Elephas maximus indicus: one gene and its partners. The protein of the gene in region 3 interacts with the protein of the main gene of each other region in a pairwise test. Links are inferred from orthologs where the notes say so. Each region holds a gene or a part of one and is shown on either strand. Other genes may lie near its edges.

The links.
Region 1: the proteins of HAP1 (region 3) and HMOX2 interact in a two-hybrid assay, tested with the Homo sapiens proteins (2 studies listed by BioGRID and IntAct). The link is inferred for Elephas maximus indicus from reciprocal best matches to the Homo sapiens genes HAP1 and HMOX2.
Region 2: the proteins of HAP1 (region 3) and TAF1D interact in a two-hybrid assay, tested with the Homo sapiens proteins (2 studies listed by BioGRID and IntAct). The link is inferred for Elephas maximus indicus from reciprocal best matches to the Homo sapiens genes HAP1 and TAF1D.

Annotation. Positions count from the first base shown.
Region 1 is NC_064830.1:62,537,395-62,547,521, forward strand, and holds the start of HMOX2 (heme oxygenase 2), read left to right. Parts: upstream 1-6,031; 5' UTR 6,032-6,093; intron 6,094-6,152; exon of another isoform or gene 6,153-6,177; intron 6,178-10,127.
Region 2 is NC_064825.1:27,236,285-27,246,313, forward strand, and holds the start of TAF1D (TATA box-binding protein-associated factor RNA polymerase I subunit D), read left to right. Parts: upstream 1-6,061; 5' UTR 6,062-6,165; intron 6,166-6,177; exon of another isoform or gene 6,178-6,487; intron 6,488-8,314; 5' UTR 8,315-8,393; coding exon 8,394-8,458; intron 8,459-9,199; coding exon 9,200-9,584; intron 9,585-9,995; coding exon 9,996-10,029. Other genes in the region: C7H11orf54 (ester hydrolase C11orf54 homolog), read right to left, coding at 1,656-1,710. UniProt on the Homo sapiens protein: Component of the transcription factor SL1/TIF-IB complex, which is involved in the assembly of the PIC (preinitiation complex) during RNA polymerase I-dependent transcription.
Region 3 is NC_064837.1:48,767,448-48,777,465, reverse strand, and holds the start of HAP1 (huntingtin-associated protein 1), read left to right. Parts: upstream 1-5,572; 5' UTR 5,573-5,581; coding exon 5,582-6,047; intron 6,048-8,211; coding exon 8,212-8,291; intron 8,292-8,609; coding exon 8,610-8,726; intron 8,727-8,851; coding exon 8,852-9,042; intron 9,043-9,249; coding exon 9,250-9,349; intron 9,350-9,426; coding exon 9,427-9,493; intron 9,494-10,018. UniProt on the Homo sapiens protein: Originally identified as neuronal protein that specifically associates with HTT/huntingtin and the binding is enhanced by an expanded polyglutamine repeat within HTT possibly affecting HAP1 interaction properties.

The DNA of each region.
Region 1 (10,127 bases), on a different chromosome or scaffold from region 3:
TCAAAATCCTAAAAAAAAAAAAAAAAAAAAACAGGCCTACTGGACTGGTTGAGACTGTAGGACTCCCTGAGACTTGTCCTGAGATACTCTTCAAACTAAGGCAGAGATCCCCAGGCCACTGCCTCAAGTAGCTTTGCTTCAGAATCCTGTTTCCTTTACTTGGCTTGTCCCGCACCCGCACCCACACCCGCCCCCCGCCCCCCACCCAGCTTTTCATTAGAATCCTTTTTCCTTTGCTTGGTCTGGTGATACATCAAACTATATGTAAACTCCATCATACTTAAATGTTGCTGATATAACTTGTATGAACTTCCAACTTGTAAACCCCTTAAAAGTAACTTTTCCCCTTGCCCTTGAGGAGCAGTCTTGGCAGCAGCAGCTCCTACTGACTCCTTGCACAATGAAATAAAAGTACCTTTTCTGCTGTCCCACCTCGGCCTCTCGTTTATTGGCCAATTCAGATTGCACTGAGCAGGACCTGGGGTTTCCACCAGGTAATAAAACCTTGAACCAAAACTAACCCCTGAGGTCACCTTGTAGCTAAATAACATATTGGCTTAAAAAATAATGAACATCACCCGTAAGTACTGTGCTCGTTTTTAAAATCACATATATGAGACCAAATGGTCAACAATTATTTTAAAACAAAGATGAGAATGTAAGGGGGCGGGGAAACTAGATTAATGGGAATGGAACAACCAGATGGAAGTAATGAGAACGTTCAAGCATTGTGAAGAATGTAACCAAGATCACAGAACAATTTGTGTAGAAATTGTTGAATGGGCATCTAAATTGCTGTGTCAACCTTCATCAAAACACAATAAAATATTATTTAAAACAAAAAAAAAGTGAAACCAAACTAAAACTGTCTGTTTGACTTTATAGTCCTGTGATAGAGAGAACCTACAAGGTATTGTCTATTTTATTTATGTAAAATATCGATCTTTATTTATTATAAAATGCATGCACTGTATTATTTTAATAAGCATGCATTTATGTTTACTTATATTTGTATTTATAAATGAAGGTAACATTTATTTGTTTTTATCTTGTGTATATCCCTTGTACCTGTACCTGTTACAGTCAATTCCAACTCATAGCAACCCTATAAGACAGAGTAGAACTACCCCATAGAGTTTCCAAGGAGTGCCTAGTGAATTCGAACTGCCAGCCTTTTGGTTAGCTCTTAACCACTGCCCCACCAGGTTTTCCTTATCCCTTGTAGTCTCCTCCATACCATAGTATGTCATGCCTCTGTGCTTAGACCACCACCTAACTTCTACTCATTCTTCAGAATTCCATATAAGCATCTCCTCCTCCAGGAAGCCCTCCCTGACCCCTAGTCTGGGCTGGTACCATGTCTTGTTTGTCTCTGTACTTCTACCTCCCAGTACATTGTCCAGCACATAGTAGGAATTCAGTAAATACCTAGTCAATGGTAAAAAAAAAAAAAAAATGAAGTACAAATCAATCTGATAAAAGATGAGGTTTTAAGACAGGGAATAGAGAGCCCCCCAAATCTGCAAACAAAGTAACAAGAAATGGGCCAGGGTGCAGAAACAAAGCCATTCCCCAGAACAATGGGGCAGGGTATCAGAAAATAGCCCATAAACCTTAAAGTAGTCTTTCAGAAGCAGCTGGAGAAAACCAGCCCCAGGGACATGTGCAGAACATCCACCTGTGACCACTGTGTGACCTTCCACCAGGGGCAGTGAAGGGCTGCAGTGGCAGCCAGGAGACTGCGCAGGCGCGGCGCCCCATAGTAAGTCCTGCTACGAATCCCAGAGGCCTCCAGGGCAGCAGCCACCTTGGAAAGTTGCTGCCCGCGCGCTGTAGTTAACATAACCCTGGGTATGCCTGTGAATAAACATAAATCTTTTCCCGCCCAAGAACTTTTAAAAACCCCGGGCGGATCTTTTGTTCTGTGAGATGGGGATATGGGTTGCTTAGGCCCGCCTGTCTTCTACTTGCAAGCCTCTTCAATAAAGCTTTGCTCCTGTGGAAAACTCTACGTGCCTCACAGAGACGGAAGAGATCAGGCTGGCTGAATTAAATGAGGGGTACGTTTCAAGGCCCTGTGTGGTGCTCGACCAGCTATAATTAAATCTAAACCTAAGTGCAGACTACCAGATAACTTCTATTGCTGGCACCCAAGAACTACTTGTGATTAACAAACTAGGTGCTTAGACAAGATAAGGGGCTACATTTCAAGCCCCTGTGTTCTTGACCAGCTATAAATTACTGATAATTCTCCTCAGTTGTTTTTCAAGGCCTCACTAGGTGCAGCGCATGCATGGTAAAGATCGGCGTGGGCTATGAATGACCTTCCACGTAAGACAAACACGAACAAAGACCACTCGCTGGGGCTCGAACCAAGATCCAGGGGCATCATGCATGCACGACATCCCAGAATAAGTCCTGTTCGACATCCCAACAGCCTTTGTGACAGCCTCCATCTTGGTTCCAGCAACCTCTGTCAGGAAGTCCATCTTGAATTCTAACTGCGTGCGCATTTGATTTTCATAATCCCTCCCCTTCTCCTGGAAATCTCCACTCATTTAATGAATAAAAGTAATGCCTTTTCCCCTCCTAAGAACTTTTATAAGTCCTAGGAAATCGTTTGTTCAGTGAGAGACTGGAGGCTAGTGTAGGTGGAAACCCCTCTCCTTCTCTCTCCTTCATGAGCCTTTTACTTTCTTTCTGTCCCTAATAAACTTTTTTCATGTGGAACCTCTGAGGCTCTCCTGGTCATTCTTGCTCAGAAGAAGGTAAGAACCTAGGCAGGGCTTAGTCCTGGGCTGGGAAGCCTTGCCCTGTAACATTACCTGCTCATTCTTGACCAGAGAGGCAAGAACCTTATTCTGGTAACAGTTTTTCTTCAGCTGCATGGAGTTAAACCACAAAATCCAAAGTTCCCAGGCCTCTGTTTTAAGGAAATAAATCCAAACAAGAAGGTCCCCAGCAGGACCAGCAACTAATTTGCGGGGCCCACTGCTAAATGGAAATGAAATGCCCTTGTTAAAAAATGATTGAGAATTTCAAGATGGCAACAGCAAAGCATTAAACCAAGCTTAAAGTTCTTCTGAGCATGAGACCCAGTTTAATTGCCTAGGTTACATGCCCATGTTTAATTAAGAGTAAAATTCCAGGGCCGCGTCAGGACCAGAGCAACCCCAGTGCCTTCTGGCCTTGCTGAACCTGAAGCTTAGAAATCAGGACAGGCAAAAAGTGGCTTACCCTTGGCTGCCAGCCAGTGGTGCTGGTGCCCAGAGACTTTCCAGAAGTGGGCTGGCAGCTTGACAGGCTGGGGCAAAGGTCTTGCCTTTTGAAGCCTGATATGGATTGAATTGTGTTCCCCAAAATATGTGTTGTAAATCCTAACCCCTACTTTGATTATAATCCCATTTGCGGATGAGTTCTTTGTTATGTTAACAAAACTAGATTATTGTAGGGTGTGTCTTGAGTCAATCTCTTTTCAGATATAAAAGAGATTAAACAAGTGAACAAGCAGAGATGTAGGAAGACAGATGCCAAGCCACATGAAGATTGCCCAGGAGTAAAAGCTGAAAAGAGTCAGGGAACTTCTCCCAGAGCTGACAGAGAAGGAAGTTCTCCTAGAGCCGGCACCCTGAATTTGAACTTCTAGTCTCCTAACTGTGAGAAAATAAATTTTTGTTTGTTAAAGCCATCCACTTGTATTTCTGTTGTAGCAGCACTAGGTAACTAAGACAAGGCCCCAAGCAGCCCACGACCCACAACCCAGAGACATGAGGGGAGAGATTAGCTACTGGCTGGTGCACCCTATCATGATTCAGCACTTTCTGTGTGACTTTGTATCTGACAAAGGACTTCAGTGGCATACACTCATGATAACAGTGGGAGCCCTTGACTGGGGTTGTGCGAGTGGCAGGCATAAGCTAAGCCCCACATTATCTCATTTGAACTCTCACAGCAACTGCTCCTTCAATCACTGCCATTCAGCTTAATTCAATTTTATGTGGCCAGAGTAGGGAAAAGAGGGAAGTGCAGAATGTACTTCCTTTTCTTAAAATCTATTTTTTTATAGCCAAGTAATACATAACGCATTTATGCATTCTCATTAAAAAATTTAAATGGTATATGTAAAGCAAAAGTGGACTTTGACCTCTCTGTCATTTTAGTGTGTAAACGTTCTGGGGTTTTTGGATGTATTTATATACCTACACATGAACATGTAGAAATATATAATAATTTCATAGACTCAAAAGAGAGAGAGAGAGATCAACCTGTTTTACTGTGCTAGTGCTGCCCCGAGTGGGTGGCTTTAAAGAACAGAAATTTATTGTCTCACAGTTTTGGAGGCTAGAAGCCTAAATCAGAACATTGGATTTAGGGGAGGGTCTTTCCTTGTGGGTAATCCCAGGCATTTCTTGGCTGATTGTAAATGTGTCTGTCTTCCCTTTCTGTGTATCTCTGTGTCCCCTCTGCTTTTTATAAGACACCACTCAGAAGGGATCTGGTATGACCTCATTAAAAACAAAAGAAAGCCTCTATTTCTAAACAGGATCATGTTTCAAGTATAGGGGTTAGTGTGGAAGATGTTTCTTTTGGGGAGGACACAATTCAATCCATATCAATACTGAGTGTATTTTCCAAAAAAATTTATTGAAAACTTGTAAGTACAGTATAGAGAAAAGTGGAAAGAGCTGTGCAGCGAGCACCTGTATACCTACCACTTACATTTTTTTAATTTTTAAAATTTTGCTATATTTGTTTTATCAGATATCTTTTTCCATCTAACCATCTATCAACCATCTAATCTTTTGATGCATTTCCAAGTAAGTTGCAGGCGCTAGTACTCTTTGCCCTTAAAAACTTTATCATTCACATCATTAACTAGTGTTCAATAATTTTTTAGTTTAATTTATGTGCTGTGGAATCTATTGAATGTATTTTCCTACGACTTTTTTTTTCCTTCCTCTTTTCTACTTTATGTTTGAAGAGTTTTCCATGTCCTCACTACGTGAGGTCTGCCCCCCCTCTTTAAATTGTGGCACAACTTATTTGTTGAATGGATGACCACTGCCAACTCTCTCATCCTTTTTTGATGGACATTTAGGTTGTTCCAAAATTTTCATAAAAATGGAGTCTCTTATTATGTTTTGTAATGACCCTTCTTTGTTACTTTCTTGGAGTTCTTGCAAGTATTCCTCTAGGATAGCTGCCTAGAAGCGGGTCAAAGAGTGTGCACATTCTAAATTTTAACAGATCTTGTCAAATTGTTCTCTCCATCTCCAATAACTCCTACGAACAGCATGTAGGAGGTTTGCCAAAGCTGAATATTGCATCTTTTAATCTGTATGCTGACTGATGGTTAAGGAAATAAGTGGAAGTCAGTATGGCTGGAGCAGAAAGGGCAGGTGGAGGGAAGGTCAGGTGAGTCTGAAGAGGTGGTGGCATGGTCTAGCCAGGGGGAGGAGAACTGTAGACCATGGCTGGGATTTTGACCTTTGTCCTAAGAGCGATGGGGAACTGTGGAAGGGTTTTAGCAAGAGGGGAGGAGTAATGCTCTGATTTTGACTTTTAAAAGATCACCTTGGTTGCTGTTTGGAGAATGAGGCAAGGCCGACGCTGGGAGACCAGATAGAAGGCTGGTGGCAGAGGAGATGTAGAGAAGCGTGCAGAGTCGAGGAATACGTTTGCAGCAGGGCCGCATAGAACTGAAGGATTGAACTGGCAAAAGGAAAAGAGGATGGTGTTTAAGGTTGACGACTCGATTTCTTGCATAACTGGATGGATCTAATAGCATTAAATGAGATTGGGCAAGCAAAGCGCGTAGCCCAGAGGCGTCTTCATAAACATTTGCTCTTATTAATAATGTTAGCATTCTTTCTGAAGCATCCCTATTTCCACAGCCAAACCAGGGCTGCGTGTCCGGTTCCTGGCAAACGGCCCCTCAGGGGGCGTATCCTTCCCACGCCCCGCCCCACGCAGCACAGGCTCCACAGACCCCGCCCCCACGCGCTGCGTGTACACGTCCGACCGCCCCCAAGCTCGCGCTCTCGGCTTCGGCGGCGGTGCCACTGACGGACCGGCGCAGTGCACCCGTGGCTGGTGAGTGGCTCACGTCCTCCAAGGCCTTCCTCCCGGGCTCATCCGGCCGCGTTACCCCCACGGCGGGCCCTGACCTCCGCCCGGGTACTGCCCTCCGCTGCGTTCCTGGTGCGGCGCCGGGGTTCGGGGGCAACCAACGGCGAGAGAAGGGCCGGCCCGGGGCGCTGCGGGGTGGGGGGCAGCCGGAAGCGGGGTGACGCTGGGGACGGGGCCAAGGAGTGGAACCGGGGGACAGGGACGGGCGTGGGGAAAGTGACAGGTAAGGGTGAAAGCTGGAGACGCCGCTTTCAAGAGGATATTTCAGCAGGGAGGTAGGAAGGCCTGATGGGCTCATTTGGGCCCACTCCCTCCCAATATCACGAGGGTGCTTGGTGAGGTGACCCCGTGGGTCGCAGCTTCGGGCCGGCTGTAAAATTGGCGCTGCAGCTTCTGACCGCCAGCCTGGCTTGGTCCATCGGTTTTTGGGCCTGGGAGGACCGGACCCTCGCGCACGTCGGAGATTGGTGCCCGGCGTGGGGCCTTGTGCTGACCATTGGCATTCCCTGGGGGGGGTAAGCCCTTTTACTGACTCACAGTCGGAAGTGGTGCCCTTTGAATCACTATCATGACTTCTACGCGATTGAGAGGGATCAGCTCTAGGGGCAGCTGGTTAATCTGGACGAGGAGTTTACCTGTCACGTCAGAAGCACAGGTGTAATAATTTCCTTGTAGAAGCTGCCAGGACTGCCTTGCACAGTCTTTGCACAAGACCTGTGTGTTTCAGGCCATTTGAAATGATTCTAATGAACTAGTTATTTTGGTCTGTGGCTGTGTATCCTCACTGTGGTGTCTTGATACCTAAACCAGACAATGTGGAGTGTGATTAAAAAAGGCAGTGTTATAGTGCCCTATAGTTTATGACGCTTTCTCAAAGATTTTCATTGGCCCCTTTCAACAACCCTGGGAGTTTTTCCACTTGTGAAATGAAAGTTATGATGAGATTCAGATTATGTGACTTAACCTAGATCCCACAACCAAGAGATTGGCCCAGATGTTCTTGAACCTGGTCATCTGCCTCCAGATTTGGTGCTCTTTCTTTAAATATGATTGTTAAGATTGGAAGTGGATTATGTTATTTAAGCGATTTTACCCCTCCTGCTAAACTGTCCTCTCCAGTAAAAGGAAACATTAGCTTACTGTTTTGTGTATTTTAATTTCTGGTATGGCTTTACCCTGTGTTTGTGTCTATGTGTGTGTGTTTGTTTGATAATTTTAACTCCCTTATAACAATTTCCATTTCTCCTTCTGTGGGATAGGGGTAGGGGAAGATAAGGAGTATGTTAGGAAGTCTGTGGTTTGTTGATGAGATTTTTTCCAAGAAGCATCATAAGATATAATCTTTGGTTACCAGGAGTTCACAGTTCTTAAGGGCATTTACAAGTTTATCTAGTGAAACTGGAAAGAGTTTTAAAAAATAGTACCTAAGCTAAAAAACTGGTGAGGGTATGGGAATTCAAAGGACCTTGGAAATACACAGTCATTAAATGAATGAGCTCATTAACCGGGGATGTGAAGATGGAAATCCTGTGGTTCCCCATTGTCCACTTGATTTCCTTTGCTTGCTCAATAAAGAGATGCTGTGAGTTCCCAGTGTCAGGAATATGAGCTACTGTAGAAGTGACTATGCCAACAAGAAAATGAATTATAGAAAGTAAAGTGCTTATTACCTTTAGCTTACCCCTCAAGCCCATTGAAGAATTGCAGAACTGGACAGCTAGGACCTTTGGGCTACCGCTGATATATATATATTTTTTAATAATTTTTATTGTGCTTTAAGTGAAAGTTTACAAATCAATGATTTTTTTTTTTTTGGTTTACTTTTAAAAGCTCACTTTTTGTAGGACTGTTGGGCTCTGTATCAGGATTGCACCAAATATTGGAATAGCATTCCTCTACAAGTAAGATCTTTTTGGAAATTGGAATTGTATGTTTTGGTGTAAAATTTAGAATTCAGATTGTAACTTCTGGGAGAGAAAACAGAGGAAAACTTGAACTGCAGATTATCTCCTTGTATATTATTGGCCATTGAAACCAAAAACCAAACCTTTTGCTGTCGAGTCGATTCTGACTCATAGCGACCCTATTCGATAGAATAGAACTGTCCCACAGGGTTTTCAGGGAGTACCTGGTGGATTTGAACTGCGGACCTTTTGGTTAGCAGCCCTAGCTCTTAACCACTGCGCCACCAGAGTTTCCGTTATTGGCCATAGTTAACTCAAAAGTTATAGACACCTTTTTTCTGTTATTCTGTGTTTAACACAGTGAAGATTATCTGCTTTTAAACTTAGCTTATTTATGATATCTAGTAGCTTTGTTTTGTGCAGAACCATAGGATAAAAGCTCTGTTTCTTTTGTTGTAATCTGAGTAATTTCTCAGGATATTTTTGCACTGCTGGGAAACAGTGCCATTACCCATTAATTTTTGCCAGCAACAAGTGAGAGATGAATCTTTAATTGGAATTGTTGAGATAACTGCTTGTATAGAGGTCTTCCCTTTTTTTGTACTGGAAGGCATTTCATTTTGGTGATCACTCTGATAGTAATATTGTCCACTGTACAGTTTACTTTTCTAAATCAACTCCACATATTTATTGTAAGGTGTTGTCTTCCATTTTGTGACACTTTTTAAAGTCAGCTAATAAAGGCAGCTGAGTCAATCAGAAGTTTTCTTATAAAATTTCTAATAAATTTGACACAAGTACTGAAATACGGCAGCCCGTAACTGATGGGCTGGTCTAACAATGTTAAATGTATTTACAGAATATGCAGTGACATTTATTAATGTATTTTGCAAGAAATCTTTTCTGAACCATCAGTGTGTTTTAGTTAGAGAACAGTAATGCTGTTGGAGTTTGTCATAAATAGTTTAAAGCGTACAGCTATTGTAAAGTGGATTCATTTACAAACAGCCCGTCAAAAGACTATCTAAAGTGTGATCATGGCCTACTGAAGAGGAGATGGGAACTCTTTCTGGGTCTTCATGTCAACCACATCTGTATTCAGATCCTCCTCACTCAGCAATGTTCTGCACTGTTAACTAGGTAGTTCAAATCAGGAATTAAATTCTGTAGGCTTTTCTCAGCAAATAGGTTTCAGTGTCGTTTTGATATAATTCTAGAAGACTTTTAGCGAACATGCATTTGTTTATATGATACATTTTAGGCAAGTATTTTAAAAGTAAGCTAAGTGCTGTCTAGTCTGCTTATGGAGTAGGGATTGGGTCAGATTTTTAAAAATTTTTCTTGAGTATCTGACTTTAGAGTTTACAGATGGACTGGCTTTTTACATATACTCCAAAATGATTGAATTGTGAAGTACGCAATTAAGCTAGTTAATCAGTTTGTAACATTTTTTTCTCAATCACAAACAGCTATTCAGTACTAGACATTTTGCTTTATATGTGCATGTACATATTATTTATTTAGAAAGAGTGAAAAATAATTGGTTTGTTTCCTAAAAGGAAAAAAAAAAGAGAAGTTTGGCAATTCATCTTTGACCATGAGAAAAGCCTTTAAACCTTTTGAGCCTCAGTTTCTGTATCTGAAATATGAGGTTAATACTTGGTATCCCCTAAAGTCTTTGGAGCCTCTGAGTGCTATTAATTGATATAAGATAGCGGTTTCCAAACACTTCTGTTTCAGAAAGTTTGGGATTGGGCCTGAGAATCTATATTTTTTAAGTTTCCCAGGGATTCTTGTTTGGGTCCCCCTTGTCAAGAGCACAGAAGAGGGAATGGACTGGCAACAAGGGCAGAGAAGAGAAACGAATAGAATACATGAGTAAAGGAACAGCAGAAGAGGAAAGAGGTGATTGTTGTATAGTGACAACTGTGCAGTCAGCTTTTATGCTACAGGCCAAGCAGGGGGATATTCCTTTCTCTGCTTAGGAAAAAATTTTTTTTTGTCACAGAAATAGATTTGTTTCCTTCCTAGGAGTATCATAGCCCTAAATATTGTCATAGTCCTAAGTAACTTTAAAAGATCTTGTTGGGGGTA
Region 2 (10,029 bases), on a different chromosome or scaffold from region 3:
TCTGTATGTACAATTTAGTGACGCTGATTACTTTCTTTGAGTTGTGCAACCTTTCTCACCCTCCTTTTCTGAGTTGTTCCTCCCTTATTAACATAAACCCACTGCCTGGTAAGATTCCTATGTAATCCTTCAAGTTGCTGTTGTTAATTTGATCCCATATAGATAATTGTTAAATGAGCATAATGCTCAAGGCGGACCTTTTTTTACTAGTTATACTACCATTCAGTTTTAGGATAACTTTAGGGGACATTTTGGGTTTAAGGACATTATGGTTTATTGTTTTGGAATTACACACTCTAAAAACACAAAGTTATCCTAAATCTAGCCATATAAACATTCCATATCAGATCTTTTGGAGCCCTGGTGGCACAGTAATTAAGAGCTAGGCTGCTAACCAAAAGGTTCGCAGTTTGAATTCACCAGCTACTCCTTCGAAACCCTATGGGGCAGGCAGTTCTACTCTGTCTTACAGGGTTGCTATGAGTTGGAATCGACTCAATGGCAATGGGTTTGATTTTTTTTGACCAGATCTTTTATCTGTATGAGAATAGGAACCAAAATGAAAAATCCCCCTATCAATACAATAACTGTAAATTAATGAATATATAAATTAAGATTCAGGGTGTAGAAAATAGTAAAATCTATTTTTACCAATTACAAAGGGACCATGTTCTTGCTATAAGATATTCTTGCTATAAGATATTCTGAAATACTGAAAGTCGAAAATAAATTTTGAGCCAAAAAACTTGTATTACATATTTTGTACTGAATATATCCTACACATATAGAAGGAAAATAAACCATAAACATGCAGGAGAAGTAAGTGGCAGAAAGGCACTCAAAGAGAAGATTTGTATCACAATCCAGCTGTCCTACTGTATCGGGAAGGCAGAAAGACTGATAGAAAAGAAATACAGGTAAAAAACACTAATAATACAGATTGTTCACTAGCTGCTGATAAATTTAAGGAAAAAAACAGGCAGGCTCTAAGAAAAAAGCCACAACCAAGCAAAAGATAAGTATACTTTTTGACTTCAACCTCTTCAGGACAGATACACTTTGAGCAATAAGGGTAGGCTTTATAGTTACCATCAGAATAGAACCTAATGGCTCAAAAAAAAAAAAGCGTCGACATTGTGACAGGCCATGCAGTTTTGAATTAGAACTATTCCTGGCTTCACTTTCCATCTGTATTCATATTTTCCTTTTCTTATCTATCTTTCCTCCTTCAATGTGTTATCTTGAAAAAAGCTGCTTTAAATTCTTGTTTGAACAAGGTGATACACATAAAAGTATACTTCAGAGAGAAATCTAAGGAAGTTCGTTGTCAGTCTGTCACATGAGGAGAAGGGGAAAAAAAGTACTATATTGGGAACATGGTTAGTATGCAATAATAGATTATATATTCGAATATTGTAACTGGTAAAATGATAATAAAACACAAAATTGTACAACTCTTTGGGTATCGCACACATTTAAAACTTAGATTACTATGGTTATTTTCTTCCTGTAAAACTGGGATCTTACCAAGAATCTATAAATGGTGAATTTTTGCTCTAACAGCTTTTTTTTTTGCCGGGGGGAGGTTAGACTTTTTGAATAGAAATAGTACAGAATAGACACGGAAAAGGACAACGAGTTTCTATTGTATTTACCTCCAGCCAGCTCCTCCAGGCTTGGCACATGAAAAGGAGACTCGACACAAGCCATTTTCTTTCTTCTTTAGGTGTAAGGTTGTACAGATAAAGCTACTGCAGGCTAATTCTCACGAGAGTCCACAGTGCACCAAACATGAACAGCTGCTGATCTGGAATTGAACACTCAGAGTTTAGTTATTAAAAGAGGACAAAAGGGCATTTAGGTTTCTGTTCATACAGAAAGGCAACCATATCTCTTAACACTTTATTCTCACAAGCAACTCTTTATTAATACTGATATTTTAAGTCATTTTAAACAGACTGGGAAGGGGAAACTCCAAACCAAGAGATCACATGTGATTCATTTTTTTTAGTCATACACAAAGATTGACATGCGATTTAATGGTTGGTGTAAGGAATACAGGTCCTGAAGCAAAAGGTACTGGCAAATATTTCTATAATAGATGATTGGTGTGTTCTACTCTACATTTGACATTTAGGTTAAAAATTCAGTTCCTTAGAGTATCACTTTTACAAAAGAAAATCTAAAGTACTAAAAGAGATGGAAACTTCTAGAAATAATCAGCTTTTGAAATTCAAATTTTTACTTTCATTTACAAATATACGTTTTATAGTAAGCAGGTTTTTGTTCAATTATTCTGATAATCTTTAACCAATTATAATTTGGTATTTTAAAAATATATGCTAAGTGCATGTACCAATAAATAGGCATACATAAAAACATACACAGCGATTAATACCTTACCTCAAGGGTTCACATGATGAGGAGGTGTACCAGCAGAGGGAGATAAAATGAAGCCAAAAAAGACTCCACAAACAACAGACGCAATATGAAGTGGGCGGGTAATCCTACACTAGGCCAGTCACGACAAGGAATAAGAAAAAAAAACCCTTATGGGAGTTTCTAAGAGCACTGTTGTTCTTGTTAAAATTGTTAATAAAACACTTCATTAACTGGATTAGCCTCTGACTTTAACAAGCTTACTTAGCAAGTGAAAGGTTGGCCCCCCAACATCACTTGAAAAAAAAAAAAATTTTTTTTTTAATTCCCCAAAGATTCACAGGTTTCCTAGAAACTGGGTTTCTAGTTTTGATCATTTTTGACAAGTATTTTCTATAAACATAGTACTGCATACATTTAGCACTTAGTGCTTTATCATTTACCAGCTTTTATTTATGAGGATAATAAAAGCACTCAATATCTTTGTTTGCAGTAGAAATTACTCAAATGAAAATTCAAATATAATCCTAATTTTATACCCTTTACTAACTCTAGAAGGTCAGTTTTTTATTTCCCCACCCAAACAAAGTCCAACCCTGCAAGGCTACAGCCTGAATGATTGATTTAGAAATGTACAACTTCAGACAGGCCAACAGTTAGCACAGAAGGCAGTGTGGTAGTAGTATGTGTGTGTACATGTGTGTGAGGGCAGGGGGTTGTTAGGGTTTGAGTGATGAGAGCTAGGGGGTTAGAAAGGTCTTAATATAAATTCATAAAGGCTCCAAGAGGAAAGCCTTGGAGCAGATGTAGGCAAACAATATTTACCCTCCCAATACAATTCGTTGGAGTTAATGGCCCAGAAATTGAGTTTAGAATAGGGAATAGAAATAGGAGGCAGTTGGGTAAGTCAGGTTGCAGAAAGAACACCCCAAAAGGGTAGACCAACTATGGCAACCAAGCTACCATTTACTGAGCGCAGCCTTATACCAGACATTCTCTCAAAACCTCTCACGACCATGACAGGGAGGTATTATGTTTCTCATTTCACAAAAGAGAAAATAGGTCAGAGAGGATGTATTATTTATCTAAGTTCACTAAGTTGGCAAATGGCAGAAACAGAATTCCAGGTCTAGCCCACTATAAAACCAGAACTCATGACACTGTTCCACGCTGGTTAACTGGTGAAGGACTGATACATTTCAGCTGAAAATAAGGAATAATCTGTACAGAGTTATCCTATAGCACTCAAAGTATTATCTATGTACATCTGTTTGCTTGCTCTCTTTTCCATAGTTTGTGATCTGAAGATAGGATTATGTTTCTCATATCTGTATTCCAAGTACCTAGCATACATTGGGGGCCCTGGTGGCACAGTGGTTAAGCACTTGGCTGCTAATCAAAAGACTGGCAATTCGAATCCATCAGCCACTCCTCGGAAACCCTATGAGACAGTTCCATTCTGTCCTATAGGGTCACTATGAGTTGGAATTCACTCTGCAGCAACAGGTTTGGGTTTTTTGTTTTTTTTTTTGTAGCATACAGCGGGCATTACATTCACAACACACCAGACTCATAAAGCTCTGGTACAGGGCCAGCTTCACTGGTGTGCAACTAGTGCAGTCACACAGGGCCATGCACTCAGAAAGGCACTTGGTTAAATGTTCTGCTGTCACCATCTTGAAATTTTTTTTTTTTAAATAATTTTGTCTTCGAACTTGGGTTTTGCAAATAAACTCCAAAGAGACAACAGGGTATGCACAGGAGCAGAGGAGAGCACTGCGACATGCATGCCCACCATGGGTCCTTGCCACCACTTTTGCAGACAGCATTTGTGATGTCCTGTTTTTTTATAAGCAGCAGAGAAGAGCCCTGATGGTACAGTGGTTAAGAGCTTGGCTGCTAACCAAAAGGTCTGCAGTTCAAATCCACCAGCCACTCCTTGGAAACCCTATAAGGCAGTTCTGCTCTGCCCTAGAGGCTTACTATAGTCAGAATACACTAGATTGGAAAGGGTTTGATTTTGGTTTTTATGAGCAGAGAGGATCCCTAGTTAAGTGTTCAGCTGCTAACCAAAAGGTGAGCAGTTTGAATCCACCAGCTGCTTCTCCAGAGAAAGATGTGGCTATTTGCTTTTGTAAAGATTTACATTCTTGGAAACCCTAAGGTGCAGTTCTACTCTGATAAATAGCATTGATAAGAGTTGGAATCATGGACCCAAGATGCATGGGAATTCAGTAAGCCTCAAAATCTTTGGCTTCCAGAGTGTTGGCAGAACGTGCAAGTATCAAGAACTGAAATAAAAACAGTTGAGTTAGCTTTACACAGCGTTTCTACTGTTCTAAGGTATTTCTTACTAGAACAAAACATACATTTGTATGAGCTATGAAATACAAATTTTGTGACGTTTCAGTGATTCTGCCTAAGAGTTAAATGTTATTAGATTTGTATTTAATACTGGCATTGCACAATATAAAGATAAATGATAAAATTCATGCCAACAATTTTAAATTTTTATTTTTCTTTACTTAGAATGGCATTACACAGCAAATAAAAAACATAACAAGTCGAGAGAGACCACGGAAGGAAAAGCTTTTTCCCTGCTTTTTGAACACGGGACCCTGCATTTTCATTTTGTACTGGGCCTCATAAATTCTATAGCCGGGTATGCTCCTTGAACAGGGCAGTGTATAAGACATGCATAGACTCCGTGGGTCAAATGCAGTGGGCTGCCTACAGAATCAGACTTTCTATACCTGAAGCTGTTCGATATCTGGCGCCAAATGGGGTAAAGAGACCAGATTACCCTTAAAGTTCTTTCTAATCCTGGGATGACGCTGACTATAAACGGAGACTAGACAACATCACTGCTTATACAAGAAAGCGGAAAATAATCAAACCGACTCATTCTTTTTTTAACTACTTTGTGGAAAAAAAATCAACTAGTTTAGCTGCTGTACCTTAAACACTCCGCAACCGGTCAAGGAACTTTTTTTTTCAGGGGAGGAGGGTGAGGGAACTGCAAAAAAAAAAAAATTCCTCCGCGGGTAACTCGTGGTATATTAACCAACTCCTGGGAGGCTGACCCTTAGTTTAGAAGGAATGGTGAGGCTAACAAAACGAATCTGAAGGTGTCTGGAGGGAAACTGGGTGTGCTATGGTGTAAGACTGGAGTCCAGGACAAAGGTTACACATTTCGATAACGGTCAAACCATGAACCTTTCCCAATATTTTAACACAGAACAGATATTTGAAGGCAAAAGTATTATGTCAAAAACTGCCAAAAAGGGATGCTTCACATTCCTGAACAGAAACCCAAACTCATCTGCCAACCTAGAATTCTACAGCTTGGCATGTAAGAAAAACACACACCATCCGGTACCAGGCTTTAGAAAGTCAGACGACAGCAGGGCGAATGCGATACCACCGGAAACAATTCACGGTTTTTTTCCTCGCAGTTCACATCCATTCCGCTCCTTTCGCCCACAATTTGTTTTTGCCGTTTGTCAAAATATTTTTGGCTACTGCACTTACCTAATTCGGTCTAGGAAGCCTCAACTTAATCTTCACCGTTCCCTCCGACAACCCCACCTCCTGACGTCACGACCTCAGGCTCCGCCTACTTCTTATCACACCTCCCCTGGCGTTGATCTAAATGGCTCCGGGGAGTCTCATCTCCTCCCACCTCTCGCTGTCGCCCGGGTGTCCAGTTGTATCGCGAGACTTCGGCCCCACTCTTAGGCGGGTCGCGCGATAGCTCTTCCCTTTCCTCCGAACGGTTGGAGAGAGGTAGGCCGTTTTCTGCGCGGTGCCGTGTTGGAGCGGGAGGCTGCTGGGTGCTAGGTACAGACTTCAGGGACACTTCCGCCGCGTCAACCCGAGGCTTCTGGCCCGAGGCCTGGGCTGAAGTGCTTACGGGCGTTTGCTTCCTACCAGTCTGGTGGGCGGGGGAGAGGCCGCTGATCTAGTTTTCCTCGGGACCACCGCGTAGTTTGGGGAAATCGAGCGCTGGAAATCAGGCCCTGAGGGTGGAGGGCTTCCCCGGGCCTAATGGCCGGACAGAGTCCCGAACAATCGCGGTTATCGCCTGTGGGCCTGTTTCGTTGGTCTGGTATGTAGCTGTTAAGATGTATGCCAAACGCCGGCATGTTTCTGACGCCAGTTTTTGGCGTGCGGTTAGGTGTTCCCGGAGGCCTAGCCGAAGGTCACCCGGTTGTGAGTGGTCGTGGGGGTGCTCTGTGTTAGATCTGGCCGAGCGCTCTAGCTTGCCACGTGGCTTCGAAGAACCGCAAAATCCCTGGATGGGAAGACAAGTACGAATGCTAGTTGAGCAGGTTCTGATAAAGTGACTTAAATTAGCTTTATTTTGGTGAGTGCTCGGTGTGTGTGTGTGTGTGTGTGTTTTAATTCCAGGTATACTGTCAGGGTCCATTGGATCCAAATTTTTGGGGTTTTGATTTGGAGCAGTTGGTACTTCATAGCTTATTAGCGGTTTTAGAATTTTGCATTTAAAAAATCTTTAAAAATTCTGTTTTGAGATTACCGCATGGGTCCGTTGGGCAGTTTCACAAGTTTCTAGATTGCAGCACTTATTGTTTCCCTAGACTTGGAACATTTTGCTGTTTTATCATGACAATTTATTGCATCGTTACGCAGTTTGTCGATTTCCAAGTACGCTGAAGACTTGTTCTTTGTTGCCATCTGAGACCCCATGTGTTCAGAGTAGAACTGTGCTCCCTGTGGTTTTCAGGCTCCTCTGGGTGGGTTTCTCCCACTATCCTTTTGGCTAGTAGAGCACTTGAGAGTTTGTCACCCAGGGACTCCTATGTGCTAAAATAATACAAAAATAGAATGATGGCATCCTGTAAGGAAGATGAGCTTAGGAAATCATCTTTCAGTTTTTCAATTGCATTATATGTGAAGTATTGTAAAATGACAAAAACCAAATCAAACTCATTTCGAATCCAGTCGATTCTGATTCATAACAATCCTATAGGACAGTAGAACTGCCTCGTTGAGTTTCCAAGGAGCGGCTGGTGGATTCGAACTGTCAGCCTTTTGGTTAGCAGCTGAGTTATTAACGGCTGCGCCACTAGGGCTCCACAAAAGACACTAAAACCCACTGCCATGGAGCCGATTCTGACTCCTAGCGACCCAGTAGGGTTTCCTGTAAATCTCTAGGAGGCTGACTGCTATGTCTTAATTCCGCAGAGCTACTGCTGGTTTCACACTGCCAATGTTTTGGTTAGCAGTTATCACCATAACCACTTCGCCACTAGGGCTCCTTCAGTAGTCTGTTTTAGCCTTTCATTGAAAGAAATGAAAATTCACAATTCTCAGTTTCTGTGCATGAAGACAACATGGGAACGTTTACCAAAAAAAGGTTTCATAATTACTTAATGTTAAGAGACCATAAGTGAAGTCCCAGACCAGATGTTGAAAATGGTGATGGAATCCAGGTGTAAATGGTGATGACTTTTTCCTGGTGTACTGAGGCCTATTGAACCACAGTCTACCTTCTGGCAGTTTTTCCTAGGAGTTCCTATCTATCTTGGGAAATAACCTTTTGGCTATTAATTGTATATTACTCATGGCTCCTGGTGAAATTACAGTTTTTATTGGTAATTAGAATGACGTTGGATGCTTTTGCTGGGAATGACAGTACTTTTCTGGATGGTATCTTGTACCATTGAATAGATTTGGAAAGACAGAATAGAACCTGTCAGTGCAATTTCTCATTTTTAGAGTTTGATGTGAAACTGTTTTCTAGATGAGAAGCTTTTAAAGGCCTGTTCAATCAAGTGATTGTGCCTAAATTCACAGCTAATGGTGTAAAGTACTTCAAAATTTCCGGTATTAAGATACTTGCTATCTATGTGCTGAAGTTTAGTGTTTATTCAGGGAAGCTATATCACATCTACTGAATTTATATTTTCAGAAATTTATCCCCTTAAAGCAAGGAACGGGTGATGGATAAAACAGTCTGACTTGAGGGACTTGGAGTATTTATCTAAGGAATGGATTCTCCCAGCTACACAATGACATCTGATTTAGCTACTGCTGTAGAAATTGAGGATCATAGGTAAGTCTGCATTTTTAGATCAACTGTTACTGTTTTAAACTGGAATATCTCAGCAGTAGATTCCATTAATGTTTACTGTATTCGAATTACCAGGAAAACAAATCGTTGTAGATATTAGTAGTGGTAAGAGTTAATTTTCAGAAATTAGGAAAGATGAAAGAAAAACTTGATTTACACAGACCTTCAAAATTAGATTAAATCTATGTGATTTTATTGAGTTATTACAACTACTTTGATTCAAAAGTATCTGACTTCCTGGATAAGTTGCCTCATTTTTTTATATCAAGTAAATGGACATCAGTGGAGAATGTTGCATAAAAATCAACCCATTAAGATATTCCACATAATGTAGAATGCTGACGTAAGTATATGAATTATGTGTTTAGTACTTCGTGAATTGTGGGGGCTCGTCAGCATTAGTATATTCTCATCAAATACTTGTCTGGTATGTCATATACACCCCCAGTTGGGGGTCCTGGTGGTGTAGTGGCTAAAAGCTCAGGCTGCTAACCAAAAGGTAGGCAGTTTGAATCCCCAGAGTTGTGTGGGCCATTTTATGTAGGGTGGTCAGAACTCAATGGCTAGGTTACCCTGGCCCCATCCCTGCCTCTTCCATTTTTTAGTGAAATTATACTGAGCATGTATCCCTGCTTTGGTCTTTGGGAGGAGTGTCTATTTGGGATAGGTTATTAATAATCGCATTCAGTAACATGAGGATGCAATTTTTTTCTTTATTTCTAGTGATAACTCTGAATCTTCTGGTAGCAGCTTATTTAAAACTCAGTGTGTTCCTTCCTCACCTAAGCGGAGGCAAGAAAACCCTCTAAGGACTTTTGTTCATTCATCTGAAAGTGTTCAGGCAAGAGATTCATCAAGCGATTCCTATGTGGAACCAAGACCGTTGACTTTAAAAGCAGTTTTTGAGAGATATAAGGAAAGGAAACGTAAAAAAAAGAGAAAATATAAGCCAACAGGAAGACCAAGGGGAAGACCAAAAGGAAGGAAAAGCACTAAAAGCTCACAAATAGACAAAAAACAATTAAAAAATAAAGGATCTGCTTTCCTGTTTTTAGAATCAGAGAATGGAAGAAACCCACTTCCTTGGAAAAAAATTTTAACCTTTGAGGTGAGTCAGCATTAAATATGTCTGTGCACATAGCTAAGGTTGTAGCTTAAAGTTTTTTTGGCCACTTTTAGAATTCTCTAAAGATATCTGGAGTATATTTTCCCTTCAGCTTTTTATGTGTTCATCCGATCTGTAGCTTTGATACTGTACTAACTACTTTTCCGCTCAAAGTATACTTATTCTTTAGCTACTTGATAAAATTGTCACTGAGGCTTCTGGGAGGAACCTTTGGTCTTATTTTCTCAGTGACCCTGGCAGTGTTAATTACAGTTGAATGAATGAACCATGACCAGTAATTATAAGTTCTTGGTAAGGGAATCCTTGCCCCCTTTTGAATATAGTCATTTGCTGAGTCATGAAAGAAAATATATTTTGAAAGACCATGTCTTAGTATATGTTTTTGATTTATAGCAAGCTGTAGCAAGAGGATTTTTCAACTACATTG
Region 3 (10,018 bases):
CCATGAGTTGGAGCCAACTCAACAGCTACTAACAGGGGCTTCTGGAAGGGCTTAACTGAGAGGCAGCAGCAATCCTACCTGGAGGGTTAGGCTCTGACCTGGGGTCACTCTTGGAGAGGCAGTGACTACTGACACTGATCATACCCATCACTGAGTGAGCTTTCTTTGTGTCCGGCTCTGCGCTAAGTGATTTCCTCATTACAGCCTTGTAGTTGGAGATATTTTACTTTACGTTTTACTTTTGCGGTAGAGGAAATTCAAGTGATGGCCTATCAACGCTATGAGTCAGAACTGACGTGACGGCAACAGGCAGTGGGCAGTGCCTACTAAGTCTGCTGTTTTTCACAATTATATTAACAGCAGTTTCCATTTGTTGAGCCCTCATTATGTGCTGTTTTTCAGCACAATCTCAGCCCCACAGCCCTGTCAGGTGTGTAAAATGAAGGTAAATTATACAGGACAAGTCCTGGAGACTCAGGTGAGTGTCAGAGCTTGGGTTTGAACCCAGAATGCCTGACTCTAAATCCCAAAACACTTTACTTCCCAGCCCCAAGGTTGGGATCCTGAGTTGAGCCTGCCTGAGGTCGTGGCCCCACTGGTAACCCTGGGCTGGCCTGGAGTGTCCCAGATAAAATCAGTGAGGATGGGTGGTCTGGAAAAGAGCAAATGAGCAGAAGACCTATTAGATGTCCTCAGAGCACAAGAGTACAGCCTTATTCTGGGGGTCCCCAGAGGGGAGAACTGGAAACTAGGAAGTGGGATTGGGCATAGGGGTGAGTATTACAAAGAGGAAGATTTTTGCTCAAAGCAGCAGTCTGAAAGAAGACTTTTCTAGAATGAAGGCTACTAAAAGTATTTAAGCAAGGACTCGAGGGCCAGCTGGTGGGAAGGCTAGGGGAGAGATTCCTCCACTTATTGGGAAAAAGGGCTCCATGGTAGGGCTGATGAAGTCACCCAAGGCCTCCCAGTGGGCCCTTGGGAGCAGGGGTGGCATTGGGACACCTGCGGTAATGTTCCTATGCCTGGAATGGCCGGGAGTGCCTGGAATCACACCTGTTCCTCCAGGAGTGGTTAAGGAGCTAACAGCCCTCAAGGTCCAGCTCACAGCCCTCTCTCCTCCCCACCCCCCAGCGGATTTAACCCTTCCCTCTCCGTGCATGCACACAGCACTATGTAGACCCTGTGCTAGCAGGGCCCTTGCTGGGAGGGCTGTTTGTGTCTGTCTTCTGCACTAATAACAGTTACTGCTGTTGATGGAGCACTTAAAATGGAACTGCACGGTGACCTCATTTGTCCTCAAACCAACCCTGTGAGGTAGGTGCTTTTATGCCCATTTCACACACAGAGAAACTAAGCTCAGCAAGGCAGGGCTGCATGCTGGAGTCAAGCTAGTAAATGACAAGTGGCAGGTTGGGATTTGAACCCAGTCCGTTCTTGGTCTTTCCATTATGTTGTTGTTGTTGTTAGCTGTCATTAATGGTATGAAGCACTGACCGGTCCAGTGCCATCCCAGTGATGGGTTGCAGATTGGGCTCTTGTGATCCACATAGGGTTTTCATTGGCTGATTTTCAGAAGTAGATGGCCAGGCCCTTCTTCCCTACTTAGCCTCTTGTGGGTTGAGGGAGTTGTGTGGGATGGGGATGTGGGTTGGCATTGCCCTCTGGTGGTGTCAGCCAGAGTTGCCTGGTGCCAATGCCGTGACCCGGAGGTGAACTGGAGGCCCACCAGCTCCTCCAGATTTATCCACCTCTTCTCCACCCTACGTCCTTCTTCACCCCAAACTTCTCAGAGGGCCTTAGGGCTGCTTTCTCATAGGACAGTGACAATTCAATTCAGCAAACATATATTCAGCAGGAATTTAATAGGCTCCTACTGTATGCCCAGGTCTGTGCTTGATGCTGGGGCTGCAGAGATGTATGTACAAGACACAGTGAGATGATCCACGAGGCTGCGCTGGAGGCTGGAGCGGAGCCACTCAGAAGAGTCCTGGAGCTGCAGCCTAGATTTATATATACAGTAGCCCCAAACTGGAAACAATCCAGATATCCATCAAGGGGAGAACAGATAAGTAAATTGTGGTATACCCATATAATGGGATCCAAACTAAAAAAACCAAACTCATTGCCACTGAGTCGTTTCTGACTCTTAGTGCCCCTCTAGGACTGGGTAGAACTGCCCCATAAGGTTTCCAAGGCTGTAAACCTTTAGGGAAGCGGACTGCCATATCTTTCTCCAGACAAAGGGCTAGTACTCAGCAACACAAAGGAATAAAATTACTGAATCATGTAAAACATGCATAAATCTCAAAAATACTATACTAAGTAGAAGAAGCCACATACAAAAAAGAAGTATATGCTATGTGATTGCATTTAAATGAAATGCTGGGGAAGCCAGCACAGCTTGTCCAAGGCAAGGTCATGGAAGCTCCACAGACACATCCAAACTCCTTGAAGGATGGAATTACTGGGCTGAGGGCTGTGGGGTCCATGGTCTCAGGGAACAGCTAGCTCAGTTGGCATAACATAGTTTATAAAGAAAATGTTCTAACTTCTACTCTGGTAAGTAGTGTCTGGGGTCTGAAAAGCCTGTGAGCAGCCATCTAAGATACTCTGTTGGTCTCACTCCATTGGGAGCAGGGGAGAATGAAGAGAACCAAAGACACAAAGGACTAATGGACCACAACTACTACAGCCTCCACCAGACTGAGTCCAGTACAACTAGGTGGTGCCTTGCTATCACCACTGACTGCTCTGACAGGGATCACAGTAGAGGGTCCCAGACAGAACTGGAGACAAATGTAGAACAAAATTCTAACTCAAAAAAAAAAACAAACAAAAAACCAAACTTACTGGTCTGACAGAGACTGGAGAAACCCCAAGAGTATGGCCCCTGGAAACACTTTTAACTCAGTACTAAAGTCACTCTTGAGGTTCACCCTTCAGCCAAAGATTAGATAGGCTCATAAAACAAAATGAGACTGAATGGGCACACCAGCCCAAAGGCAAAGATGAGAAGGCTGGAGGGGGCAGGAAAACTGGTAACGGGGAACCTAAGATCAAGAAGGGGAGAGTGTTGACATGTTGTAGGGTTGGCAACCAATGTCATAAAACAATATATATATATATTGTTTAATGAGAAGCTAGTTTGCTCTGTAAACCTTCATCAAAAGTACAATAAAAAAAAATTGGGTGAAGTAGAACAATAGCAGAACGGGAAAAATTATGGGTCAAAGGCCTGGAATGGGAGACTCAGAAGAAATAAAGTGAGCCCTTTCTGGAGCCTGAAGTTGGAGACTGGATTATTGCCAGGACTGTGGAGAGAGACACATACTCAAAACAGCTAGGCTGGCCACCGTCTTTGATCAGGGCAGTGCTGTTTCCAACTCTGCCAGCCAAGAGATTTGGCTGCTATGCAGTGTGCACGCTGCCTTTGTTTTCTAAGATGGAGATTAAGTTTCTAGCAGCAAGATTTCAACCCATAATTTTTCCCATTCCACTTTACCCACATTTAAAAAAATTTGAGTCCCTTCAGGTATCACTTTGTTGTCCATGACTAAACCAGGCAGAACTGGTTCGAAGCCCTGCTTCTGGGTGTGAGAAACTGACTGGAAGGGGGCAAAAAGAAACATTCCGGTTGATGGAAACATTCCGTCTTGATATGCATTTGTTGAAACTGACTGAACAGTTCATTTAACATCTGAGGATTTCACTGCTCGTAAAGTTTACCTCATTTTAAGAGATGGCAAAGATCCTGGTCATACACAAATGTGGGCATGGATGGATGAGGTAACGTGATATGAAATGGCTAAAGATGTGTGCTGAAGTGACTCTAACACAAAATTATATTTACACATCAATGATTGTAGCACATTGCAACAGTCTCCTACAGACCTCCCTGCTTCCACTTTTGCCCCCTTAACTCTAAACTCCAAGAGAACAGGGGTCAGTTTCTCTCATTCCCTGCTCTAACCCAACAGTCTAGCACAGTGCCTGGCATATATAGCAGGCACTCAACACATATTTTTGTCAAATGAATGAATGAAACTACCTAGAAGAAAACATTCTTATGTTTCACCAGCTAGGGAACTGGCAGAAGGGACAGTTGGATCCTCCTTCCTGGGTCATGTCTCTTGTTCCATACTGTGTCATGGACACCTGGCCCCAAAAGCACATTGTCAAGTGCTAGAAGTCCCAGGCACAGGCCATGGGCAACAACCCCTGTTCTGGGTTTAGGCTAGGAGTGGGGGCTGTGTGTAGGGGCACCTGGAATTCCCTAGCTCAGATAGAAGTATGAGAGATAGATTTACTCTCCTCAGGGCAACCACGAAGGGCATGTCACAATAATCTCAGAAGAAAGGCTGAGGCCTCAACTTGGAAAACAGTGGAAGGGCTGAAAAGGAGAGGGCACATCTGAGAAATATTTAGGAGGTAAACTGAGCAGAAGGAGCCCGGTTAACCTCTCGGCTGCTAACTGAAAGTTTGGTGGTTTGAACCCACCCAACAGCTCTGTGGAAGAAAGACCTGGGCATCTGCTTCCATAAAGATTACAACCCAGAAAACCCTATGGGTCAGTTCTACTCTGTCACATGGTGTTACTATGAGCCGGAATTGAATTGAGGGCACCTAACAACAACAACAACAAATTCAGCAGAACTTGGTGAGTGATTAGGAGCTGAGGAGAAGGAAACGAGGGCACCAAGAATGACCCCACGACTTGAAAAGAATCAGGGCCACGGCCCTCTCTTTTCGGCCTGTAGGTTCCTCCCATCCAAAGGCACAGACATAGCCACTGGACTCCTCTGAGGTTCCACAGTTCATTTAGCACCTGCCTGGGCTTCAGGTCCTGTGCTGCGTACCTAGGACACGGTTTCCGCCCTGAGGGGGCGCAGGCCTTGTCCTGGAGACAGACACGGATCACTACAGGGGTCAGGGGAATCTTCACAAGAAGGGGACGTTAAAGCTGGGTCACTCGGAAGAACAGGTGTTTGCCCAGTTGACAAGAGGTGGGAAAAGGGAAGTAGAAGGCAAAGCACGAGGAAAGAATATGACGCGCCAGGCTGGGCAGGGAGTTGAAAGCCGGCCTGGAGATTGGATTTCTCTCTCAGTCAACGGGAAAAGACAAACCACTGCTCTCACAGGTCGCCCCAGACCATATTTAAAGAGTTGCGTTGGCTGGTGGATGGGTGGAAACACATCAGGGAAGGCAACTGAAAACCCCCTTGGTGGGAGTGGATTTCGAGCCCCTACTGGCGACCCGCGCCAGTCGCTGTACCCGAGTCCCAGGGAAGAGGGGGGCTTTGGGCGGAACCATTCTCCAAAGGTGGAGAGGGGGGAGAAATCCTTTTCTCCGACCCCCAAGCCCGTGGAACCAGCTGAAACCCTCGCTCGACTCTTCCTCGTGCCCTTTTTTCCTGATTTCTTCCATCCGTTCTGGCACGGTCACCCCCACCGCTCCACCCCCGTCCCTAGCACCACTGGTTGCTCTTCGGCGTCCCCTCCCAGCGTGTGGTACGGCCCGGCGGCCGCCGCTCCAGACACAGTTTATAAAGTCCCGGCTGCTGCAGCCGACTGCGGACTCAGGATGCGCCCGCACGACCCCGAGCAGGCCTGCGCCGGGGAAGGCCCCGGTTCCGCGGATCCAGACGCAGGTGCCCCTGCACCCCAGCCCGAAGCCAGCCCCGATCCAGAGCCCTCGGCCGAGACCGACCCCGCTCCGGCGCAGGAACCCGGGGCTGGACCCGCAGCCGGAGCAGCCTCCGAGTCCCGACCCAGGTCGAGACCCCCAGCCGGTGCTCGCCCGGCCTCCGAGGCGGGAGCCCCGCGCGCGTCCTCATTCTCGGCCATCCAGGGGGATGTCCAGTCCGTGCCCGGACACTCGGACGCGCCGTGGACCCGCTTCATATTCCAAGGGTCCTTTGGTGCCGGGTCTGCCGGCCTGGGGACTGAGAAGGCGGCGGGCATCTGGAAGACGCCAGCTGCCTATATCGGCCGGCGGCCCGGGGTGTCCGGCCCCCAGCGCGCCGCCTTCGTTCGGGAGCTGGAGGAAGGTAAACGGGGTCCCCGGGACCCTGTAGCGGGTAGGACGAGAGCAGCTCCAGGGAGGAGGGGTCTGGATCGGGGCCAGGCGCCCCGCCTCCTCTGCCACTCAGTCCCACCCCTGCACCCACTCTTGCGATGTCACTGTCTGCGGTGCCTGTCTGGTGGCCCTTTCCCCATCTCCTCCTCCCCCTTCTAGCATCCCTGATGGCGGAGTGTCGCTGAGGTACAGGGCCCCGCCCCCCCCGCCCGCCTGTTGCCGCGGCGCATCTGCGCACTGTTGTTGCCCCCTCCCCAGTCTACCGCAGTGCCAGGAGAGAGGCGGGGGGCTGCGGAGGCGCTGCCGGCGAGCTCTGAGCCTGCGCTGGCCGCTGCGCTCACCAGAGAGGGGGTGGTGGGTGGATAGAGGGGGAGGTTTTGCCACCCTCTTGGCTTCCAGGGTCAAGGGCGGGCTTTTCCCCCAGCCCGGGGGTGGGCGGGGCATAGGGTCTCCTCTTTTCTCTCTTCTTCCACTGGGGTAGGGGGAGGTCTGTGAATTGGGGCCCTTTAGGCTCAGGTCCCCCCTCCTCCAGTGCTATAGAAAAGTCCCTTCCTTCTCTCCTCCCCCCACAAACAGGTGCGGGGTGGGTGACTGCGCAAACCTCACTGTTTTTATGACCCACAAGGCTCCAATGGGCTGGCCAAGGTTGCCCTGGGGCCCGGGGGTGATGAATCAGTCTTCCGGCTGTCTCTTCCCAGCTGCCTCCGTTCTCCTGGGTGCCAGGACCCAGGCGTCCTGAGAGCCCACTTCCACCTGAGCGTGGTGGACTGTGATCCCCTTCCCCAACCCCAGTGGTGTCACTAGGGCGGCGGGGAGGGGGGTGTGGACCAAATGACACTGTCAGCGGGGGTGACACCAAAATGTCTACAGAATTTTTGTGCAGTGTTTCAGCAAAAATTATTATTTTTTATAAAAATATCCCTGTAGTGAAGTCAGCACAACTGGACTAAACCAAAAGCTAAGAAGTTTCCTGAACACAACCAAACACTTCTAGGGACACTGTAGAAGGGGCAGGGGTCTGGGGACCATGGTTCCAGGGGACATCTAGGTCAATTGACATAACAAAATTTATTAAGAAAATGTTCTGCGTTCCACTTTGGTGAGTGGTGTCTGGGGTCTTAAAAGCTGGGGAGCAGCCATCTAAGATGTGTCGATTGGTCCCAATCTACCTGAAGCAAAGAAGAATGAAGAACACCAAAGACACAAGGAATATATTAGTGCAAGAGACAGAAAGGGCCACATAAACCAGAGACTCCATCAGCCTGAGACCATGAGAGCTAGATGGTGCCTGGCTACCACTAATGACCACCCTGACAGGGAACACAACAGAGTCCCTGACTGAGCAGGAGAAAAGTGCCGTGCAGAACTCAAAATTCTAGTAGAAAGACCCGACTTAATGATCTGACTGAAACGGGAGGAACCCCAGAAGACATGGCCCCTGGACTCTCTGTTAACCCAGAATTAAAACTATTCCTGAAACCAACCAATAAAGATTAGACTGGACTATAAGACTTTTTTTTTTTTTTTTATAAGACATAAAATGATACTTGTGGAAAAAAAAACAAATTCGCTGTAGTTAGTTATCACAATGAAAATATTTTTTGTAAAAAAATAAAAATGTTTTTCGTAAGCCCAGCTTACGTGTATCAATACGCCTACAAAGACTAAAACTCTATGCTAATTTACTTTTTGAAACTTCTAATTCTGCTTTGGTTAGAGCTGTAATTATTACCCAATTACAATGATGGCTTCAAATCACGTGGTTTCGTCTGCATGCGCTCAGTGCTGTTGTTTTCCGTTGCTACCAATGTTTTTATAGTTGCTGCTTTTGTCAATTTTCCTGGTGTTTTAGCTAAAATATTGTAGTAATTAGCATGGGGGGGGTGACAGGATGAGTTACTGCCTTGGGTAACCCCAACCCTAGTGACGCCATTGCCCCACCCAGGCCTCTCCAGAAAAAATGATGCTCAGTCTGGGAGTGCTGAGTACTGAGGGGTGAGGGGAGGTTATTGGGAGGCAGGTAGGGAACAGCCTGCTGGCCTTGTTGAGGGAAAACTAGAGATAGGACAGGAAGGAATGGATTATGGTGGGGGGGCACTTGTAGACTTTTCTCACCATCCTGCCTTCTCCTACAGTGCTGTGTTCTGACCGACCCCCACCACTTAAGAAGATCACCCAGGAAGATGTCGAAGTGATGTTAACTTTGCTGGAGGAGGTGTGTGCTGCCTTCCCTTCCCAGGCTAGCCCCTGGCCCTCATTTTGATTCTGTCCTGTGGGGTAGGGGTCCAGGCTGAAAGAGCTCTTAGAGCCAAGCTAGTCTGATCTGTTCTTTTTCTATAAGGGGAAACTGAGTCAGGTTCCACAGTGGGTTAATGGCAGACCCTGATTAGTGTCTGGAGAACTAGGGAATGGAGAGGGTTTCCCCTTGTGGCCTAGCCTCTCTCTGACCCCTGTGCCCCCCAGCTTCTCCCACCTGTCTGGGAGATCCTGGGAACCAGGAAAGTATTCCTCATGGGTGATGGTCCCTCTGCAGAGAGAGCGGGACCTGAGTACAGCGGCTCGCATTGGCCAGTCCCTGGTGAAACAGAACAGTGCTCTGATGGAGGAGAACAGCAAGCTGGAAGCCATGCTGGGCTCAGCCAGGAAGGAGGTAATGGGTGGAGGGTAGGAGGGAGGGGTATGCAGTCTCAGACCTACCTATTGTCCCCTCATGCCAGGACCTGGCCTCCTGCCCTGCCTGCTGCCCAACTCAGGGCTCCTCTCCCCTCCTGCCAGATTTTACACCTCAGACACCAGGTGAGCTTGCGGGATGACCTCCTTCAGCTCTACTCAGACTCTGATGATGAGGAAGAAGAGGAGGAGGAAGAAGAGGAGGACGAAGAAGAGGAGGAGGAGGAAGAGGAAGAGGAGGAAGAGGAGGGAGAGGAAGAGCAGCAGTGTGATTATTCCCATGACACCCCCAAGCCGTGAGTGTCCTGCATTTGCACCTGGATGGTCCCTTCTCTGAGCCTATTTTCCCATTTGTAAATAGGCATACAGCCAGTGTGCCTGCCAGCAGTGTTGCTGGGATGAATTGGACTGCCACACTTAGCATAGGTGGGGAATCCCTCGGTGGGTTGGGAACTGGGTACCCCTACTCCGTGCACGCTGACTCCCGTCACTCCCTCCCCTAGGATTCCTCTGAAGGAGTCGCAGCACCACTGCCCACAGCTGGAAGCCTTGCAGCAGAAGCTGAGGCTGTTGGAGGAGGAGAATAATCAGCTGAGAGAGGAGGTGAGGATGGGGGAGGGGGGCCCCCCATGGGTGGAGAAGGTTGACACCCATACCCCTTCCTTTCTCCCTGCCTCCAGGCCACCCAGCTCGACAACCTGGAGGAGGAGGAGCAGATGCTTATTCTGGAATGTGTGGAGCAGTTTTGTACGTGATGTTATAACCTGGGGGAGGGACTGTTCCCTAGGTGTGGAGGGAAGGACTCAGAAGTTGGAATCTGGAGACCTAAGTTCAAGTCCTAGCTCTGGCTCTTTCTATCTGTGCGAGCTTAGGCAACTTCCTTGACCTCTCTGAACCTCACTCGCTTCATCTTTAAAATGGGCACTCATTATCTTGGGTCTGGGCTCTGCTGACCTCTCCAGGGGTTACAAGAATCAAGCAAAGCAACAGCTGAATAACTGCTTTGTGCAAATTGTAAAATGCTAAACAGAAGCTCTGGTGTTCTCTGATAGCCCCTACTGCTATTTGGGGTGAGGGGAGGGAGGAGGCTGAAAGTGAGGAAAGAATGAAGCCAAGAGCTGCCAGAGACCTGGCTCCCTGAGGCAGTGGGACAGGGGGCAGTTCAGAATCATGCATTAGGCAGTGGTCGGGCACGGCTCTGTCCTAGCCACTGTGAGTGAGGGAGGTGCAACATTTGTCCCTGGGAAGCTCAGGTCTAACTGGGAGCTGCAG